2 linked regions of the Oryctolagus cuniculus genome follow. The protein of the gene in region 2 interacts with the protein of the main gene of each other region in a biochemical or structural test. Links are inferred from orthologs where the notes say so. Each region holds a gene or a part of one and is shown on either strand. Other genes may lie near its edges.

Evidence for each region.
Region 1: the proteins of CD6 (region 2) and ALCAM form a complex in vitro, tested with the Homo sapiens proteins (4 studies listed by BioGRID and IntAct). The link is inferred for Oryctolagus cuniculus from reciprocal best matches to the Homo sapiens genes CD6 and ALCAM.

The regions. Positions count from the first base shown.
Region 1 is NC_091435.1:60,577,180-60,588,225, forward strand, and holds part of ALCAM (CD166 antigen), read left to right. Parts: intron 1-1,421; coding exon 1,422-1,534; intron 1,535-2,957; coding exon 2,958-3,093; intron 3,094-3,208; coding exon 3,209-3,342; intron 3,343-6,089; coding exon 6,090-6,222; intron 6,223-8,052; coding exon 8,053-8,091; intron 8,092-8,376; coding exon 8,377-8,494; intron 8,495-11,046. UniProt on the Homo sapiens protein: Cell adhesion molecule that mediates both heterotypic cell-cell contacts via its interaction with CD6, as well as homotypic cell-cell contacts. Promotes T-cell activation and proliferation via its interactions with CD6.
Region 2 is NC_091432.1:11,619,902-11,631,604, forward strand, and holds the start of CD6 (T-cell differentiation antigen CD6), read right to left. Parts: upstream 6,916-11,703; 5' UTR 6,764-6,915; coding exon 6,703-6,763; intron 1-6,702.

The sequences.
Region 1 (11,046 bases), on a different chromosome or scaffold from region 2:
ATCGAGAAAAAAAATGGGATGTTGTATTTTTTAATGTTAATGAAAAGCAAAAAAGAAAAAAGTGTACTTCTTCCCTTTATTTCTTCAACCTTGTGACAGAGATTGTGGATACCTCAGTGACAAATCAAGTCTCCGTCACTATCTTGTGGCATGAACAGTAACAAGAGGAGCAGATGCTACAAACAATCAACAGATTGCAATAACAGTCCTTAAACCAAGGAAGAACAAATTGTGTAATGACTTATTCTCATCCCCTAGAATAAAGTTCCAACTTCCCGTCTGGTCTCAATTAATTATGTGGCTTTATCTTCTGTGAGTTATCACCACTCATACTAGATTACTTACTATTGTGAAATCTTCCAAGCTTTCTCACCTCTTTCTCTCTTTTTCTTGGCTTACATGGCAAAAGTTTGCCTTTCATCTCCAACTATTAAAGCCCTCTCAATCATCAGGGGTCACACAGCTTCCTATACAAAGCATTTATGATTGCTTTGAAACCCAGTTTGCCTCTGTTCTCTATACTTCTCCCTTAAGTGTTTGTTTGAACCTGTGTTTGTAACCCTGCATCTTTCAACAAATATTTATTGAGTTCCCAATCTGTACTGGGTTTTTACTGGGAGCCTATTTCATAGGCTGTATGTTATATAATCTTAAGTTGAGTGTATATAACCTCTACCACATTAAATTGTAACCCTATTATTCATCTCTGTATCTCCCATCAGTGCTTGGGACAGAGTAGCTATACAGTAACTGTGTGTTTGATTGAATTGGATTTTCTACATACAGATCATACTAAGGTAGTAAGGTTTTTATTATTTGCCATCTGAAAGATCATATATCTTCCAATGTGTTTATACTATTTTTTAAAAAATGGTATCTAGTGACAGTATACTTAGCAAGAAATCTTACAAAATTTCAACTATGTGAGAAATGAAATAGCATTTTTTAAAAAAAAAACTACTTTAGTCAATTTTCTTTGAGGGAACACCTAAACTATCTATGCTTTTCCAGTTTATAATGATGGATAACTGTACTTGATTTTCTCACCTTTGTACCATCTCTTTTATAATATTTATTTAGTCATCATTTTTATTTTCTTTCAAAAGTGATTTAAGAATTTTTTCCTTAAGGTAATAGACCTTAGGGGATCATTTATATGCACTCAAAACATCAGTGGTATTAACTGCAACTTGATGCATGATCAATTACATTGCTAATTCACTTGTCCAAGTTGGTCTCAAAGCTGGCTCAAAACACTAAGATGATTATGCTTCAGTTCATTTATTTCAGTCACATAAATCAGGTCTGAACTTTCAAGTGCAGTTATAAGGTGTTTTTTTTTTCATCTTTTCATCTCCAGTGTATTTTGACTATCTTACTTTCTTGGAGTTTGCGTTTCAAGCAGATTTTCTGCTTCACAGATTTGGATTTGTCTTTAAACCCAAGTGGGGAAGTGACCAAGCAGATTGGTGATTCCCTGCCTGTGTCATGCACAATATCTGCAAGTAGGAATGCAACCGTGGTGTGGATGAAAGTAAGTGATATTTTTGGTACTGTCCTACTGTTTGAGCTGATTTCTTTGTTATATTATATTCATATATATATTCACTGATAACAGGTTTATATACCCACACTTAGGCTGTCTCTTTTTCTTTGTAATAATACAAACCAAATTACACAAAAACTTTAGAGGTACTCAGAAACAGTGTGGCATCCATGACCGATGCTCCAAAACTTAATTTGGAGCATTATTTTAACTATATATGTGTGCTAAGTGATTTTACACATGCACGTACACACACACACACACACACACACATACAGCTATGTACTTTGGAGATTAACAATTTACAATGTGTTTTTTACTCACATTATTCTCAAATGAGCTGTTTGAAGGCTACTTATATGCATGGATTTCAAATATTTTTTGCAAAATAAATATATTTTAATTCCACTTTACATGAAATTTCATTTTTGTTAATTGATGGGGAAAGGGGTAAATATTCTAGTAGACAAAAACCATCTAATCTTAGGATTTCTTAGTTTTCTATTTAGAGGTTCAATTCCTAGTAAAATAGAATTTTTTCTGTATTTCAGATGATATTTGAAGTTAAATGTTATGTTTTCTTTGTTCATATACCTTAGTATAATAATTTGTTAAGAGTTTCTTTAAAAAAATCAGTCTTCCATGGAGTTGAAGCACAGTGAGTTAAGCCACTGCATGGGATGCTCGCTTCTCATATTTTATTTGGATCCTAGCTACTCCACACTTCCTATCCAGCTTCCTGCTCATGTACTTGAGAGGTCACAGATAATGGCTCAAGTACTTGGGTTTCTGTCATGCACATGGGAGAGTTCCTTGCCTAGCTTCAAACTGACCTAGCCCTGGCTGGTTTTGGCATCTGGGGAATAAGCTAGCAAATGGAAGCTCGCTCTCTCTCTGTGTCTGTATTTCTCCCTCTCTCTGACACTGTACATTTTAAACAAATAAATCTTAAAACAAACATCCATTCTTTTCATAATTGTCATGGCTCTGTAATGGATCCCCTATATTGATAACAGTTCTGATGCAGTAACTTGAAAATAAATATACCCATTGCTGAAATCTCCATCAACTGCAATTAGCAGGTATCCTCAATTGAGAACTTCCCTTAATAGAAACCATTGCATTATTCATATAATTAAGTTTGCATAGTAACTCAATATGGTAAGTTATTACCCCATTTCATTAACAAAGAAAACTAAGTCACCAAATTGTATGTACTTGTTCCAGATTGCAAATTTAGTAATAGAAGAGACTGAAATAAAATTCCAATATGTCTCACTCCAAAACTACAAAGGAAAAAGGAAATCTATATTTGGAAACCTCTGAAGTTAAGAAAATTTTTCAGTAGACCCAAAATAATAATTTTAGTCTTATCATGCCTTGTGAAATACTTGACTTTTTACTTAATCAGGACAACATCAAGCTTCGATCTAGCCCATCGTTTTCCAGTCTTCAGTATCAGGATGCTGGAAACTATGTCTGTGAAACTGCTCTACAAGAAGTTGAAGGCCTGAAGAAAAGAGAGTCCCTGACTCTCATTGTAGAAGGTAAATGAGATACTTCTCACCAATGCAGATTTTTCTTTGAGGAAAAAAAAAAAAAAAGATGGTCTCTTTTATGATAATGGTTCAACATTAAACTTTAATTGTAATAATATTCTAGGAAAACCTCAAATCAAAATGACAAAGAAAACTGATCCCAGTGGACTATCTAAAACAATAATCTGCCACGTAGAGGGTTTTCCAAAGCCAGCTATACAGTGGACCATTACTGGCAGTGGAAGCGTCATAAACCAAGTAAGTATTTGTCTTCTGTTCTATGCTGTACTTGGTCCATGGAGAGTTTTTTTAGGTACCTAAACTACATAAAGGTTTGTTGCCACTTGAAATTTGCAGTGTATTCTCAGGGGAAGCTCTTGCTAACTTTTTAATTTTCCCAAAGGAAGAACATGACTCAAAGAGAAATTTTAAATTCCAGGGTCATGGAAAATGAAAGAAATATTATCTGTTTTTAAAGGAATGTAAATCTGATGTTGTTCCATGGTTGTTAACTTCTGAAATATTCAGGCATAAAGGTATATACTTTTCTACATCATAAATTGACACATAGGAATATAAGTAGACTTCATTAGTTTGCTTGCTGAAGCACATAAAGGAATATTTCTTCTTGAAACTGGGCCTTGAGTGTGGGAAAAGTACAGTAATTGCTTGTGCACATTTGTTTTGATTTGCCTATGATTGAACTCAGTTCAGAATAAAGAAAGTGTCCTGTTCTGAACAAGAGGGTTGAACCAAACTTTAATATCTTTACCCCTCATGGGCATTTTCATAATAGCAAAGGGCTAAGAACATATGAATGTATCAGTAATTTTCTACTAATATTAAGTCTTTGACACAAAAAGAAAAGAAAAAAAAAAGGTGAGGATGTGCCCTGTCACCAGGTGTTCAGAACTATAATCCTACAACATTTCCAATTTGCTTGTGTTACAAACCTACCTGTAAATTCCATTTTCTCCACACAATCTTCACATCACCTCTTCTCAGGAGGAATAATTAAAGACTTTACCAGCACCTAGAGGTGCCATTTGATTATTTGAATCTTCCATTCTGCCTTCCTCCCAGCTTTGGACCCAGTTGAAATTTGAGAAGATGTCTATAAACAAACACCTGCAAAATAATTTTAAGTCAAAATCTCCACTCATCCTCTACCAGGGAAGTCAGACCACAGTTCACCTTAGGCAACGTAGCTTTGCACAGCAATGTGGATTTTGGCTCATTCCCCTATGGATGATGCATTTCTGTTGGCATGATTTTGGGTATGGGACACCCCTGTAGCAAATGACTCCTGATTTGTTTAAGTATGATGGGACACACAGCTGAGAGGCCATGCCAGAGAAGAGCACAGAGGCTCTGGACCCTTTCAACTTAAGGAAATGCAGTTTCTTGATTCAGAATAAAGATCTAAACCTCTGGAATTGCTGACAACCTATGAAGCTATTTTATATCATCAAATGCTAAAAACATAGAAATGTTTCTTTTCTACTCTCTCCTTTTTGCTCTTTAGTTCAGTTAAGTAATAAGTGCAGTAAAACGAAACCTTCAGGTACTAATAATACAAGAATAAGAACTAGAAAAATAAGCACATAGTGAATGTCTGATGAATGAAAGGATACAAAGATTTAAAAGGCTATCCTGGAAATGAAAAAATGTACTTTATTAGAGCAAGGTAAAAAAAAACAGGGTCTTAATGAGAAAACCCTATGAAAAATCCTAGTAGGTAGGATAAAAGTAGCAGATGAATTTCCTATGAGCCAGAAATAATAATTCCATTTTTCTTTGTCAAGGAGAAGGATTGATTCTGACCCGTTAGGTGATATGTTGTTTTTCTTTTCTAAGTTTGTGCTGATCAATCCACAATCTTTTATTTGTTCATTCCTCAAACACATGCCAAATCTATTATTTTACAACTAGGATGTATCTTTACCCTTCCTCCACCCCCAGGAACTGGAAGAAATCCCGCCTTTGTCCTTAAGGTACTTAGAGTATAATTAAGGAAAAAGCAAGCAGAGAGCTATCTAGGACATGATGTGTAAAAATGACTGAGAAAATAATATATAGTATATATTAGCTTCAGTCATGTTGAATTTTGGAGTCAAATTCTAGGAGATGAGATTAAAGTCTATGGTTTCTTATATTTGAAGGATTTAAATACAATGATTGCCCTTGTTAATATCTCACAAAATTCAGACTTAGAAGTAACTAAAAAAAGAGTCCATCATCTGTATTTAGCCCAAAAAAATCTAGAAAACAAAGATTTTATTTACCAATGAACAATCATACATACATATATATGCACTTAGATGTAGTGGTTTAAGGTAAAGGAATTAACTCCTGCAAGCAGAAGCAGTTTCCAAATTCATAATTAAATTCATACGTTTATTGAGGGAAAGAGGTGATTAGATCTTAACTGCTTAATTATTTTGAGATGAATATCATCATGCCAAAATGGTGACTACACCTGCATATCTATTGAAAGTTTAATTTAACATTAGAAGTCACAATTGAAAAAAAAAAAAAGAAACCCCATTGTGGATTACTAGTCTTTTTCTTACCTGCTGTAGATATAGGCATACAATCCTTTCTTTTTTTTTTAATATTTTCTTTATTTATTTGAGAGGTAGAGTTATAGACAGTGAGAGGTAGAGACAGAGAGAAAGGTCTTCCTTCCGTTAGTTCACTCCCCAGATGGCCGCAATAGCCAGAGCTGCACCGATCTGAAGCCAGGATCCAGGTGCTTCCTCTGGTCTCCCATGCAGGTGCAGGGGCCCAAGCACTTGGGCCATCTTCCACTGCTTTCCCAGGCCATAGCAGAGAGCTGGATTGGAAGAGGGACAGCCGGGACTAGAACTGGCGCCCTACCTTACACATACTCACGAACAGTAGCATGTACTAAAGAACCACAACTGTCCTATTTCATCCCTTATTATTCTTTCCCATGTTTTTCTATTTTCATTTCTAAACCCATCTTCCTTTTTTTTTTCCAGACAGAGGAATCCCCTTATATCAATGGCAGGTATTATAGTAAAATTATCATTTCCCCTGAAGAGAATGTTACTTTAACTTGCGCAGCAGAAAACCAACTGGAGAGAACAGTAAACTCCTTGAATGTCTCTGCTAGTGAGTATTTCATTTCTGGCATTAAAAAGTAAGAAAAGTTGAAGTTATTCTTCATTAGTTTAAAATCTTCAGTTCCATCTTCCTGTACTGCATTATGGTAAGTTTTATTTATTTATTTTACATTTGGTATCATCATCATGAGGTTATTTTTTCTTTTTTCCTGGTTTCCATACTTGTATTATCCTTGTCTTGACAGTTAAATCATTTCATGTTTTATGAATCAGAGACTTTATCTAATCAAAGAATATTTCCCAAGAGCAGCAGAAAATAAGAAGGAAAGAAGTTGCTCTTTTTTAATACATGTTTTGTGTTCAGTGCAGAGTTAAGTCAGTCAATCATAAAATATTCTTGTAATAGTTCTAAATTTAGTAAATTTTAATTCCCTTTAATCTGTTATTTTGCACTCCACTTTTTGGTGGTGTTCTCCTACTCTTATTTTGAATAGGAATGTCAAAAACTTCATCATTCCACATAGTAATAGTAGAACTGATAGAATTCATGAAATTTGGCCTCAAAAATTGTTCCTTTTGTTATATCATATTTGAATCATGGCCAAAAATCAGAAAAAAATGATACTAACTTAGATAAGTTAAAAAAAATAATTGCTGAAATCAGTGTTACAAATATTTTCCAACAGCAGCTTCTGCTGAAAACAATTGCTATTTAATATGAAATTATTTTTCATCTTCATTTCTGCTGTTGTTCCTAGTGCTATGTCCACTTTAAATCAGGACTGTCCTAGAATGAGGTTCAATCTGGACAGGCTGTTGACTGACCCATCAAAATTTCATTCTTCAGTCAATCAGAATCCTGAATGTCACATCAGCAAGCTATGGATGCACTGTTAATTGCCTAAAGATGATGATCCTTAATAGATTATAAGTGCACTATAAAGGCCTGATGGATTGACAGGAGAAAAGAACCAAATTTAATTCTAAAATAGGAGCATTGACTTTTCACAATGCAATTCCACAAGTGTTGATTTGCCATTCCTAGAAGAGAACCTATCCGTTCTTCCTGAACAAAAGTCTCTCTTTTTATTCTAAGCCATTGAATGATGTGCTTTAGTTTTCTAGGTCTTGTAGAGCTTGATCAACATTTAATACATTTTCAAATTCAATGAGCACCTCCTGAGATTACAATTTAGTATATATGAGGAGGAATCTGAGAATATGATTTATATCAAACATCACAGCAGATTTGATGTAGGGCCATGCAATCTGAAAATATTCATATAGTTTAATATTAGATGATAATCAGCAATAGCAGTGATTCTTAAAATGAGCCAAGAGCTTGGCACTATCAGAGACATTTGGAAGGCTCTTGAAATCACTGCATATTTGCTTGGTAATCTCTAAGGCATCCTCAGTTTTAACTTCAATCTCAGTTGCTGTATGAACATCTCTATGATAGGTTCTTGGCAATAAAAAATGAAAATGATTTCTCCTATATTGACGCAAGTAAAAGTGAGGAACACCAAATCATAGACTTCTTTGGTGCCAACTTGTTTCTCTTATTAAAGAAGTACTATTAAAAGGTGATAGATAGTGGAAAAATTAATATGGCTTTCATATTAACACTATAGCTTGTCAGTTGTAAAATTTTCTATAATAGATTAATACGTTCACAATTTTAACTACTTTTTTTCCTTAAAAATTAATTTCTTTGCAGGGAATTTCATGTTCTGTTAATTGTGATTTTTTTTTACCCTTAGCTCTAGAATAGATATTTTATCTTTGACTACTATAACATCATACTATAATGGTAAAGGTGACTTTCATATATCAACAAATTTTGTTTTTAATTTCATATTAACATTTTTCATTTCAGTAAGTATTCCAGAACACGATGAGGCAGACGAGATAAGTGGTAGGTACTATGCTGCCGACTTCTTCCTTAATTATCAGCTCAAGATTTATGAAGTGTCATTGGACAAGTAATTTTCCCAGCTGTCCTTAATTTCAACTTGAATTAAAATACAAAATGAGACAAGATAGTAAGAATGCTAAAATTTTGCCCTTTAAAATCACAAGTTTGCATGTTAATCACAGTAGTGAGCCTTAGTCACTTTTAATAAGTAATAACTAGATTGATTTATTTTTTCAAATTCTTGGCATTTTCTGTAATTGCATGGAATTTTCTTTTTTGTTATAGATGAAAACAGAGAAAAGGTGAATGATCAAGCAAAACTAATTGTGGGAATTGTTGTTGGTCTCCTCCTTGCTGCTCTTGTTGCTGGTGTCGTCTACTGGCTATACATGAAGAAATCAAAGTAAGTTGTGAAAAATAATCTTCATTGTTTACTGAATTTTATTGAGAGATAATACTGTGTATCAATTATCTTCACTCCAGCTGTGCTTATAATTTCTATAGTAAGAAAGGTATATTCCCCAAATCAGAGTGATCATATTTTATTTCACCTCACAGGAACTTCATTGTCAACATCAGAGACATGGTCTGGGGTTTGAGTTCACATGTGTCTCTTTAATTTTCCAAGCCATTAGTCTGAGTCCAACTACCAGAGATTTTCTATGCATAATTATGTAGATATTTTAAAAGCATGTACTGGCTAAAAATCACATATCCTAAATTTTTTGGTTAAGATTGGCAAAGATTAATTGAAAGTGGTTAATACCTATTGTAGAGACTTTCTAGGTGTCATTACATGGACAACAGCCATGGAATAAAACTGGCCAGGAATAAAACTACTAATAACATTGGAGGATCTTGTCATTGCTACCTCATTCTATTTACTTGAGTTTGCTCCAAATGAGAATCTATTTCAGAGAGACATACATGATTATTTTGGCTTAAAATTAAAAAAAAAAAAAACTGGCCGGCGCCGCGGCTCACTAGGCTAATCCTCCGCCTAGCGGCGCCGGCACACCGGGTTCTAGTCCCAGTCGGGGCTCCGGATTCTGTCCCGGTTGCCCCTCTTCCAGGCCAGCCCTCTGCTGTGGCCAGGGAGTGCAGTGGAGGATGGCCCAGGTGCTTGGGCCCTGCACCCCATGGGAGACCAGGAAAAGCACCTGGCTCCTGGCTCCTGCCATCGGATCAGCGCGCTGCGCCGGCCGCAGCGCGCCGGCCGCGGCGGCCATTGGAGGGTGAACCAACGGCAAAGGAAGACCTTTCTCTCTGTCTCTCTCTCTCACTGTCCACTCTGCCTGTCGAAATAAAAAAAAAAAAAAAAAAAAAAACTGATTAGACAAAGTACAAAGATTACTTTTAAAATGCCTGTGATGGTGTGTGATTGAAAACTAATAGGAGCAAGTGTTTGGTTTAGGACTTAATCTACGGTTGGGATGCCTATCCTATATTGGAGTAGGTTGGTTTCAAATCCCAGTTCTGCTCCTAATTTCAGCTTCCTGCTATTGTGTACAGTGGGAGCAGGTGGCTGATGGCTCTAGTAATTGGGTCCCTGTCACCCACGTGGTCACCCTAGATTGAGTTCCCAATCCCTAGCTTTTGTCAGGCTCAGCTTCTGCTTCTGCAAGCATTTTGGGAGTGAACTAGGGGATGAGAATCTGTGAACTCTCCCTCTCTCTTTCTCCCTCCCTCTCAGAATTTTAAAGAGTAATCAGTTAAAAGTATTAGTCATGTAATACTATATAGTATGAACCTTATCATCATCTAAGAATGATTTATAATGAAATTTTGATGAACCAGTGAAGATTTTTAATATACACACATGCCTAATACTTCTCCTTGCCTCCTCAATCCTAGCTTCAGATGTCATTGCACAGGAAAGGGTTTCTAGCATTTGCAATTTTTTAAAAGTCACATTAGTGATTCTGTGGCAATATTTAGATTCCAAACATGGATTTTAACCTCCCTTATCTTATAAATGAGAAAATTGATATTTGCAGTGAGATGTTTATAACTAGTGGCGACTTTGTACTTAATTACATATTTTTCTTTTGTTGATATATCCCCTTTAAGAGCCTCAGGAAAGTTAACTTAAAATAAAATTAGAAGAAAAAGAAGGCTCCAAAGAGGATCCATAATCTCACCCTAAAAAGATGTTGATTCCAATAAAGCAGTAGCTCAGCAATTTTAGAGTCACGTAACAAGAAAGGAATGTATTGAGCTCATTTGTTCTCATAGCAGATCCGTGAAGCAGATACAATCAATATATATGTTTTCACACTTGAAAAATCTGAGGCAGAGAATGGTTACATGACTTGCCTTTTTAAAAAAAAATATTTATTTTATTTATTTGAAAGACAGAGTTACTAAGAGAGATAGAGACAGACACACAGAGAGTTGTCTTCTGTCTGCTTGTTCACTCCCCAAATGGCTGCAATGGCCAGAACTGAGCTGATCTGAAGCCAGGAGCCAGGAGCTTGTGGATGCAGGGTCCCAAGGACTTGGGCCATCCTCTGCTGCTTTCCCAGGAACATTAGCAGAGAGTGGGACCGGAAGTGGAGCAGCCTGGAATCAAACTGGAGCCCGTATGGGATGCTGGTGCTGCAGGCTGGGCTTTTCCCCACTGCACCAAGCAGTGGCCCCAAGGTTACACCGTTTGCAATGAACTGATTATTATTTGATTGAATGTAGTAATGTTGAGAATCTTTGCACTTAATCACTGGGCCTCTCTTTTCATGTATAATTTTTTTTTATTGTGTGCTGTGACCAATGTTCATGATGTCCATCCTCACACTAGGGAACAGCCACTCCTGATCTTGCATGTCACTCCCCAGTCTTGAAAAGACTCCACCAATACTTAGTGTACTATTCAGGCTTCCCCAGAGTCAGACCAACGTGCACACACACGTGTGTGTGTCTGTCTGTATTTGTGTGCAAAGAAAGATGTATTATAAGGAA
Region 2 (11,703 bases):
ACAGAGAAGTTCGGCAGACGGGGCGATGTGTTTTGTAACTAGAGTGCATCACCAAGACCAGGAAGCTGGTGCTGGCACAGCCGAGTCACTAGACGACGGCACCTCCAATGCTTGTGCCGTTCTTCCTGATTCGCAAAGGCCTCCTTGTCCCCACTGGGCAGTCCCTCTGAGACAGTGATGTCCCCTTTCTAGGAAGCCACCCCTTCTCACACTCTTCCTCCCTTGACCCTCCCAGCTGAGTGGTTAAGAACATGGATTTTGGAGACTTAACAACATGGATTTAAAGTCAGCATCGAAACAGCATTACGGTGCAGTGGGCCGGCCGCCACCTGTGATGCCAGCATCCTGTGTCGGAGCTCCAGTTTGAGTCCTGGCTGCTCCACTTTCAATCCAGCTCCCTGATAATGTGCCTGGGTAGGCAGTGGAGAATGTGCCAGGGCCCCAGGAAGAACCAGATGGGGCCCTGAGCTCCTGGCTTTGGCCAGGCACAGCTAGGATGGAGCCCCAAGCCGGCTGGTAGATTACTCTCGCTCTCCCTGGCGCCTCCCTCCTTCTTTCCCTGTCTCCATCTTTCTTGCTATAACTCTGCCTTTCAAATAAACAAATCTTTAAAAAAGCATTAGCCTCCGCTATGGACAATGCTTTCTGAGCCTGTTTCCCCTGACCATGAAATGGGGTGATTTTCCCAGTGTTGTCAGAGTGGGACAGGCTATGTGCTCCACACTGAGCTTCAAGTATGGCAAGTCCCGTGCACCAGATGGTCGTTAACAGTCATCGTTGGATTATACCTGTTGCTGTCACACCTACCCCAGGCTGACCCTGGTGTGTTCCAGCACCTTCCTGACAACACTAGAAAGTGTTCAAGGGCAAGCCTCCACATCTTGTAGCTCAATGCCAGCACAGGACATGGCATACAGCAGGTGCTGAATAGATGTGAGCTGACAGAGCCTGCCAGCTTTCCCATGGAACACGGTGCCACTGCAACTTTTTCTTCATTCTTGACCCTGATGTGCACGACACCTGCCGGGCAGCCCCATGAGGCTGTGCCATAAGGAGGAAGGTGTCTGTCACTCAGATGCCTTCCGGGGGACACCAGGACCTCAGAGGAACCTCCAGGCTGTCCTGGGACGCAGTGATGGGGCTGCAACCCTGAGAGGTGGCGTTGAGGGAGAAACCTCAGACCAGGATGGAAGCCAGCCTGCAGCCAGGTGGGGTCACTCTTTCAAGGAGGAAAGACCCCTGGGCTGCCCGCCCAAGTCTAGTAGAGATTTAGGACAAGTCTTTGAGCCTCGCTAAACCTCCACTTCCTCATCTATGAAATGGGGTTGTCATGTGGGTAACTGAGCTCATCGTGCGAACATTGCTACGTTAACCATCAGATCCTATATTAAATACAAGGGATTATCTTTGGCATGCCACATGACATTATACTCTCAAGTTTCTGAGCACTGTATTTTGTTTGCTTATTTTCAGATATGTTATACAAATAAAGTAAAGTACCACGTGTTGGTGAGCTAGATGTTTTCAGTTCTAGCACGCAGGCACAGGGACAACCTGTGCTGAGCTGGAGTGGGGTGCCCGAGTCTGCCTGACTGCAGGGTCTCTGAATCCACATGGCAGGGTGCTGGCTGGAGCTGTGATGCTAGTCCATGCAACACGGTATCCCATATGGCACAGGATCCGGTGTGACAGGGTGCTAAATTTCTGGTGGCTGGACCTCTGCTCCTGGCAGCTGCAGCCCTACTGGAGGAGCGAACAGAAAGTACCAGAACGGATAGGCTGTGTCCTCAGTGTTCAATGGGCCCCTTTTTCCAGGGAGGAAACCAGGGCCAGAGAAAGGAGGCCACTTGACTGAGATGACCCAGCAAGGCAGGGCCAGAGCTGCAAACATGCACCCCCACCTCTCCCTGTCAAAGGCTCCTTCTCCCCCAGCCTCCGCCAGCCATGCTGCAGGTGCTGAGTTTCCCAGAGCTGAGTCGGCGACTTGAGTTTGGGTGTCACTCCCCAACTTCAAGGTTCCCCAGGGAAATCCAGGGGCTGCCCAAGGGGCTAGAGGACCACCTGATCCGGGGCTTTCTGAGCAGGAAACTGAGCATGCAGCCTCTCTTGGCTCGGGCCCGTAAGGAGGGCGTCCACATTTCCAAAGAGCAGGGCACGCAGCCGGACGTCTGCACGATGACTCGGGGTCACGGACATGGCCCTGTGTGCCACCAAGTCACCTGCTAAGGAGGTTGTGCCCCTCTGCTTCCCCATCAGCCTTTCCAATGACTTGGAGGAGAAAGCTCCCGGCAGGACCCAGGGCTCCTGCCTCTCTGATACCCACAGCCCTCCATTTTCAGCAGGGGAAAGCAGTAATGGGACCAGCTGGGATTTCATGATGTCATTTGTTTCCGTGAGTCTTATTTCCACCGTTATTATTACAGCGATTTTCAGTGGCTTTCCCTTTAAGGGAGTGCTGTAAGCTTTCTTCTAAAAGAAATTCATTTTCACCTTAAGGCATTGATTAAGAGAAAACCAAATGGCAATGGCCAGGCTGATTTTAGCAAACCCCAGGAAGGTGGACTGGAATGTGGGGCCCAGGAAACCCAGCACTAAAGAATGTACCAGAGACCCTAGGCAGAGGGACAGGTGTTGGGAAGCGGGAAAGGGTGGCGCTCGGGACGCCAGCTCCATGAGGTCTGCTCAGTGCAGCCCAAGCACCTGGCCTGGGCAGTGAAGTGGCCGGTTTCAGGTTTATGGCCCAGGCTGGGAGGCTGAACGGCTGGACAGGTGCCTTTTCCTAGCAGGCAGTCAGAGTTTCTCCCAGCCACTGTCCCAGGGCCTCAGACAGAGTCACCTGCTGGTTCCTCCCTGTCCCAAGGAGAAGCCCAGCTCCTTCACCTCAGACTCCCAACAGCTGGGCCCAACTGAGTTCCCAGCTTTCCTGGAAGGAAATGGGGATGGTGCCACCAGTGAACGGAGACCAAGTGAGGGAGGCCGTGGAGGTGTTTCTCACTCATTCTAGATCCTTCCGTAGTCATCCGTGGTTGGTTAAATGAACCTTAGGAGCTGCCCCGATCCTCACCACCACCACCACCTCTGCTATGAGCTTGCTGGCTCCGCGTGTTAGTCACCCACCTTTTTGAACAGACTAAGGCAGAAAGTGTAGACACCAGTCCTATGTCACTTAGACATCTACAAGATGGAGCTGGCCAGGCGTGGAGAACGTGGAAAGAAATCAGAATAGGAAAGGTGACGCGTGTGTTTGATGGAGTGCAAGCCAGTGGCGATGCCCCCTTGGTGAGGGCAGGCACCGAAGGCTACGTTTATACAGTTTGGATCCAGGGGTCGTGGGCCAGTGACTTTTCAGCACAGGGAGATTAGAATTTAGAAAATAAAGATGACTAAAGAAACAAAAACCCCTGATGCTTCTACAAGGGTGCTTCCGAAGTCTGCGGAAAATGTGTGTGCTGACAAAACTACGTGTGAATTTCAAACTTGTTTTCACACCCAAATAAGCTTATCTTTTAATTCTATTTTCCGCACACTGAAGTATCCCCTTACATTTGCAAGCTCCTACCTGGGATGTTTCGGAATATTTGGCCAGTGGAGTTTCTCATGTATGTGATGTGATGTGGTAATTGATTTCAGTTCATATTTTTAAATAGCAGAGTTTTTAGATCTGAAGGCATTCTCTGAAATCCTTGGGAAGGTTGTTTCCCCAAGAATGGAATCCATTATACTTGTAATTGGAGTTTAGGATGCCAAAGGTTGTGCTACCCCATATAAATACAACACAACCTACATGTGAGGGGATTTCAAAACGTTTTATGGAAAACCAAATTTGGTGCCAAAAAAAAAAAGAAAAGAAAAGAAAAGAAATCCTTGCATGGTGTTTCCAAAATACACATTTTTTCAATGAACTTTTTGAAGCCTTTTCATACATAATTTAAAATTTTCCAATAGTGACATTGTTAAAAAGTAAAAGGGGACATAATAAAATTTGTTTAATATAAAATATCCCAGGTATTATCATTTCAACATGCAATTCACTTAATGTTTATTAATGAGACACATTATGTTCTTTTTGGAACTCACCTTCACAATCTATTGTACATTTTACACTTTACATATCTCCATTTGAGCCGCGACGTTTTAAATGAACGTTTCCAGGGGCTACAGCATTGAACAGCACAGATCTAAGGGAACTTAATTGGCTTCCCTTGTTGAGAACATTTATTATTTAAGGAAGCTTACACTGTCCAACTGGTTTGCTGAAATATTAATCAAAGGCCCCTTGAAAGTCATTGTTAAAAATTACTGAGCTGATAAATAAAATGGGATTTGTATGCTAAACTTCCAAGTTAAGGAAGAAACAGGTTTTTAAATTTGTTAAAGAATTGAAATACTTTCAAAGCAACCACAAGCCCCTGTTTCCACGCCAAATGGCAGCACCAGTGGGATTCGAGTCAGGACCTTGGCACTGCCCCGGTGCAAAAGCCCTTGTTACAGCGTTGGAGGGTCAGACCCGGAGGCACCCCTGTATCTCCCCAAAGCACCCCCATTCCACTGACAGGAAAACTGAGGACAGAAGAAGGAGAGGAGCACAGCCACATGGGAGTCAGAGCAGGACCCTCCCTCATCAAAGACTTCTAGTTCATTCTCCCTACATCTTCGTCCCCAGAGGCACAGAAGCGGAGGCTCCTGGACCCAGGCCTACAGGGAGCCCAAGGGAAACTTGGACCCAATCCTCTAAGTGCTGGTCATTCACCAACACAAACCAGGCACTGGGGAGAAGCCAGCCCAGGATCCGGCCCACCTGGCCAAGGATGTAGCCGTGTGAGGCCCAGGGCAGAGAGCCGGGAACCTCCTTGGGGAGGTCTGCTCCGGCATCGGAGGGCCATGGCCAGGTCTGCCAGTCCCCAGGTGGGCCAGGCTCCCCCACACCGTGCTCCTCAGGGCAGGGCCAGGCAGCCCGACCTAGGCTTCAGACACAGGCGGAGGCCTTGGAACCCTACCCCAGCCCTCATTCTCCAGGCTCCTTCTCCTCCCTCTCTCTCCTCCATCTTTTTTTCTTTCTTTCCCCTCTGGGGGCTTGCTGGGGTCTGGGCCTGCGCGGTCAAGGTGTAGGGGAAGAAAGACTCAGGCTGGGCACAGGGGCCCAGCCTCCCTGGGGTGCAATTCCCCTTCTGCCTGGAAAGTCCTTCCTTCTGGGGCGCATTTACACAGCTGCCGACCCCCGCGAGGGCCTTGAATGCCGGTGCAGCGCCCAGCGAGGGGCCGGACAGAACATAGACTGGCTTTTTTTTTTTTTTTTTGCCACCATTTATTTTTATGCATCCCTTCCCTTTTGCTTAGGACAAATGATACCACCTTTCCAGTTACAATCGTGACGTACAGTTTCCTTTCAAAACTCAGTTGATATTAGGAACAAAAAGTGAGTCAACTATAAATGCAGTTTCAAAAACAAGAAGTGAGTGTTGTGCTAGGAACGAAGCAGGCCAGGCCGGGGCTCTGCCCGGGCTCCCGGGTTCCTGCTTCCCCTTTGGGCGCCATTCAAAGCTGGTTCCCCAGGGTCCAGCACAGGCCAGCAGAGCCTGGAGCCCGGCACCCGGCTCAGCCCTCATTCCCGCTGGAGGGCCTGCCCACTCCAGCTGAACCCTGAGCCTCCCAGGGAAGAGCAGAGGGAGTGGCGAGAAGGGAGATGGGGAGGGAGCCCGTCTGTCTGTCCCCATGGGCTCCTGGGTTGGTAACTTCTGGTAGCGCAAGGAAGGAGGTGAAGCCGAGGGTCGACCCCACAGAGCCCGGGGCACACCAGTTCACACTCCCAGAGCTATGAGCAGAGCAGCCCAGAGGCTCAGAGCACGTGCCTGCAGAGAGGGGCAGAGAGGAGCCCTGGGCAGGAGCGTGTGCACCTGCTTCCCATGTCCCGTCCTGATGGGGCCTCCCAGGCTGCCCTCACTACAAACTGAAAGCACTTGGCTCCCCACTGCAGGGTGGACCCAGGCTCCCTGTGTCCACAGTATTGTCTCCATACCAGTCTCCTGGCCCCCGGGGCAGGCTCTCTGGACCTCTGCCCACCCCTGACCAGTTAGACTTCTACATACTCTTTGACAGGGGCCTGCATGTGTGGTGAGCACAGGTCTGTAGCCACCTGTTCACCCTGCGCAGGTCGCAAGTGTGCTCTGGCCACCCCCCGGTGTGGGAGAGCAGGGTGGCCCTCAAGAGCCTGCCACTTAAATGTGCCCTGGACCACCCCAGCTGGCGGAGCTGAGGCCGCCAGTCACTCAGTCTCCTGGGCCTTCCAGAGCTGTTTCTGGCACAAGGCTGGTGAGCCCTGAGCTCAGCTTTGGTGTTGAAAATCCGACCAGCAGAGGCCCTGCCTTTGGGAAGGGGAATGGCTGCTTCCTGCAAGGTGGCGAGAAAGACGTGGGGGGAGTTCCTGTTCCCCCTGGAGAGCAGCAGCACCAGGGAGCCCTTGGTGCGACACACAGCACTGTGCTCACACCGTCTCACTCCCGGCACCTCTCGGGACTGGAACACTGTCCAGGCACAGCCCTGGTGCCTCTCCCAGCCCTGGCTGCTGTTGGCATGGCCAGGGCCCCCCTGCTACGAGAATACAGTCTTGGCTAAACGGCTCCGGGAAACAACCAGGAGGCGGGCTCCAAGGACAAGACCCAGGTTCTTAGCACAAGCAGCAGAGGTAACAAAGGCGTTGGTTACCTGGGAAAGCTGCCCTCAGCAATCCAGCCATCACGACGAGGAGCCGTATGTCCGGGGCCATCTTGTCACTATGCGTGTCCACCAGTGGGAAGCGCCATCCTGGGGCCAGCAGGTGCACCCCTCTTGCCTGCCCTGCCCTTTGCTGGTCCTACGTGTGCCTTTCTCTCTGCTGCTCTCTGACACGCAGACAACCAAACCCAGCCTGTGAGTGCCTCTCACGCCTCTCTCTTCTGCTTGTGGTTTCGGTCTCCAGGAAGCCAAGCTGGTACAGCTGCAAGCTGAGTGGGTGCAGCTGCCTCTGCCCCAGGCCTGAGTGAACCCCAAGAGTCATGGAGTCAGACTACATGGACACACACGTGTGGACACACACTTCCCCAGGATCCTCTAATGAAGAGGGAAACGGAGGGACTGTGTCCCATGGCACATAGTAGATGTTCAATTAACACACATTGGAAGGGGAATGAATGATCCATTGTATGTCCCATTCCATGGATTCTGCTCTCATAGGGTCACATCCCAAGTTTACCATGTCCTTTAGTTCAAAGGTAGCTGGGAAACAGGAAGCACTTTTTTTTTTTTTTTGAAAGGCAGAATGACAGAGAAAGAGGGCGAGGCAAAGTGGTATCTTCTATCATTGCTTCAGTCCCCAGATGCCAACCACAGCCAGGCTTAAAGCCAGGAGCCCAGAACTTAATCCAGGTCTCCTGGGTGGGCGGCAGAAACTCAGTGCCTAAGCCATCATCTACTGTTCCCTGGGCACACTCAGAGGAAGCTGGGTCAGCAGCAGAGGCAGGCCTCTGATATGGGATGCAGGTGTCCCAAGTGGCAGCTAAACCTGCTATGCCGCGACACCGCCCCTCAATGCACTTTTTTTTAAAGACTGATTTCATTTACTTGAAAGGCATATTTACAGATTTCATTTATTTGAAAGGAAGAGAGCGACAGAGACAGAGAGAGGCAGAGAAATCTTCTATCTGCTGGTTCACTCTCCAAATGTCTGCAATGGCCAGGGCTGGGCCAGGTGGAAGCCGGGAGCCTGGAGCTCTATCTGGGTCTGTCATGTGAGTGGCAGGGGCCCAAGTACTTAGACCATCTTCCAGTGCTTTCCCAGGCTCATTAGCAGGGAGCTGGATCAAAGTGGAGCAGCTGGGACTTGAACTGGCGCCCACGTAGGGTGCTGGCATTGCAGGTGGTGGCTTGATCCTCTGTACCACAGTTCCTGCCCCTTGATGCACTTCTTTGAGAGCCAAGAGCGCAAGTCTCCCTCAGAGAAACGTAAACTGGGGTGAGCCTGGGAGGAGACATCTCTCACCTCCTTCTGCAGAGAAAGAGCCCTGGCCCAGGTGGGGGCTGCCCCCTGAGATGGTACAGAGGGGTCCAGCTCCCCTCACCTCTGGGTTCAGGATTCCAGCATGGCGATGAGCCCTGGAGGAATGAGGAGGGATTCAACAGGCAGTGATGGCGGAGGCTCAGGGCTGGAAGGAACAGCAAAAGGAGAAGGCTGGAGGAAGAGGGTCGGGGCAGGCTGGGGAATGCTGAGCTGTCTAGGTGGACGGCAGCAGCTGGGCACCATAGGAAGAAAACAGGGACTAAGAGTGCTTAATTCCCCGGTGGGCATACAGTAGGTGCCGAATAAAGTTTTGCTGAGTAAATGAACCAATAGATTCTTTAGATGTCCAAACAGAATCCTGAATTAGCCCAGAAGAGGGTTGGTTGTGACCCCTCTCAGGTCACCTCTCCTGGCCGGCCACTCCCTGTCCACTCCCCACATCCTCATCTTTGTTTCCTCACTTATTGGGGGGTCCTCCTCCATCGAGTCCTGCTCAAGGGGTGGTTTGATGCAAGAGGTTTTGGGGCCACAGGGAGCCAGGCTCCTCCCACCCTGAGACCCTGTGGAGCGGAGGGGGCAGAATGGTCTCTGCCATCAGCTGAGGCTGCCCCCTAGTGGATGGTGTGTAGCAGCACAGGGCAGTGCACGGGTGTGTTGGGTTCCCTGCTGGAATTCCATTTGCATTTACCCAAACGTCCGTGTGTGGAATTCTGTGGGCAAGGAGCATGCAATTCACAAACACAGCGACCAAACCACAAGCCAGCGTGAGACGACCACAATACGCGGTCTTCTGGTCCTGAGCGAAACGTGATTAAGAGAGGCTGGGAAAGATGGCCAGATATGGTTGCTGACAATTTGATAGACAGCATAAGCTGAGATGTCTCTGATGCAAAACACCGGAGAAAGAGAGTCCAACAAAACCAGTTCACGTCATCCTTAAAAACGCACCGCTGAGGTGGCGAGAAGTAAGGACGAATCATCAGCTGTCGGAAGTGACAAGTCCAAGTCCAAAGACAGCAGGAGCAAAGGCGTCCCTGAGGAGCCTGCTGATCCCCATGGCCAAGAACTCCAGTTCAACGGGCCTGGACAAAACCCAGAGCTCGAGAAAAATCAAAAACAGAATCAGAAGACCCCCACCGCCACCACAGCAAAGACCACCACAAAGCAACACAAACGGAGTGGACACAGAGCTGGCCTGGCTCAGCCATGACTTGCAGGTGAGGGAAAAAACATTTCAGCTCCAAATGCTCCTAACTGCTCGCTGGCCCATGATGGGTCTGGAAGTGGGATTTACAGCATCAATAACCAAGCAGCAATATGCCATACAGCAACAACAACAAACAAGCAATATAAAAAGTGAAGGTGTTTTCCTGACATTTCCCTAGGCACATGGCAGGAAGATGCAAATCACCCCTGGTGTAATTCACCTTAAACTCAGGCCTGTAAGGATTCCCACAGAAAAGTCACCAGGAACATGAGCTCACGTGCAAGCATTAAATCCTAAAAGTCAAGTCACAAGGAATTTTGGAGAGTGGCACAAAGCAGTAAACCATAGAGTCAGATGTTTAAAAACTTTAGACTTATAAAGATAGTGTATGTAATATAAAATAAGGATGATTCATGTGTTTAAAGAGATAAAGTGGGTAATAACAAGAGACTACCAAGAAATGACCAGAAGGATTTGAAAAAAATCAAGTAGTACTTATAAAAAACATAATGTTTTGAAACTGGAATTTCAGTGGACAGATTACACAGCAGATTAACATAGCTGAAGGGAGAATTAGTGACCTGGACAACAGGTTTGGAGAACTCACTCAGAATACAGCACACAGAGATAAAGAGATGGGAAATGTGTAAAAGGTTAAGAGACATAGAAGATGGAACAAGGACTTGAATATGTTCACTTAGAGTTCTAGGAGGAAATGGAAGATTTCCAATGTTGGTGAAATATGCAGTCCTCAGATTCTGGAAGCTCCTCTAACCCAAGAAAATGAGAAAAAAACCTTTACCAAGTATTTAGCTAAACTGCTGATCAGTAGAGAGAAGATGAGTTATTAAAGGTGCTGGCAGTGACTGTCCCAATACCAACAACGGAAGCCAGAAGACAGCTCAGAGGCCAAGGGTCACATCAAACAGCAAGGTACTTCTGGGGAGTTTCTAGGCCTCTGAGAACCCCTGCCAATACCCACTCCAGGAGTCGGCACCACGGCAGAAGACATCTCAAGACCACAGCAAGAACTACAGACTTCTTCAAACCCAAACCAGACAACGAACTGCTGGTAGAACCACCTGGTCTTCCACTTCTGAAGAAGGCAATGACCATGAAAGGGGACGATGGCCAGTGCAAATGGTGCCATTGTGTGTCCGAGTCCCTGGGCCAATCACCAGACAGAAGACACATTTCCTGGAAAGATCTGAGCTCCCACCTCTCCTCTGTCCTTCTCCCAGGTGGTGGAGAGGATCCCAAGTCATGATGATATCCATTCTGAGACCCTGAATCATGATTTACTATTAGCAAAAATTCACTGGAAAAGTGTCAAATAAATAAAGAAGTGCTGAGGAACTATGACTGTCTACCTTGAATAGTTTTCAAGAATGAGATTGAAAAGATGAAGCCATAGTTAGAATGGCTTCCCCAAAGCTCATGTGTTGGAAACTTAATCTCCTTTATGTTGATGGAGGCATGGCCTATGGGAGGTTATCAGGGTTAGATGATGCCATGGGGGTGAACCCCAACATCAGGATTAGTGGTTTTGTGAGAAGCGGAAGAGAGGAGCCGGTGTTGTGGCACAGCAGGTTAGGCTGCCACTTGCAAGGCCAGCATCCCATACTGGAGCACCAATTTGAGTCCCAGCTGCTCTGGTTCCATTCCGACTCCCTGCTAACGTACCTGAAAAGGCAGTGGAGATGGCCCAGGTACTTGGGCCCTTGCTACATGTGGGAGATCTGGATGGAGTTCCAGGCCCCTGGCTTCAGCCTGCCCAGCCCTGACCATTGCAGACATTTTGGGAATGAACAACCAGGTGGAAGATTCTCTCTCCCTCTCTCCCTCTCCCTCTCCCTCTCCCTCTCCCTCTCCCTCTCCCTCTCCCTCTCCCTCTCCCTCTCCCTCTCCCTCTCCCTCTCCCTCTCCCTCTCTCTCTCTCTCTCTCTCTCTCTCTGTTGTTCTGCCTTTCAAACAAGTAAATCAGAAGAATAAGAGGAGGAGGAGAAAGAAGAAAGATCTGAGTTGCAGGTTCCTGTGCTCCCTGGCCCTCATCACGTGGTGTCCTCCCTTAGGTTCTAACACAGCAGAAAAGGATGCCTCCCCAGGTGCTGCCAGCTTGACACTGGACATCTCAAGCCTTCAGAAATCTGATAAATACATTGTTTCTATAAGTTATATTGTCTGTGGTCTTTTGTGACAGAAATATAAAAGACTAGGACAGACACCTTCACAAGATAAAAAAAAAAAGTGAGGGGCTGGTGTTGTGGCATAACAGGTTAAGCTGCCATCTGCAGCACCAACATCTCATATGGGCATTGGTTCAAGTCCCAGACACTCCACTTCTGATCCAGCTCCCTGCTAATGCACCTGGGAAAGCAATGGAGGATGGCCCAAGCGTTTGGGCCCCTGACCCACATGGGAGACCTGGATGAAGCTCCTGGCTCCTGACTCTAGCCTGGCCTGG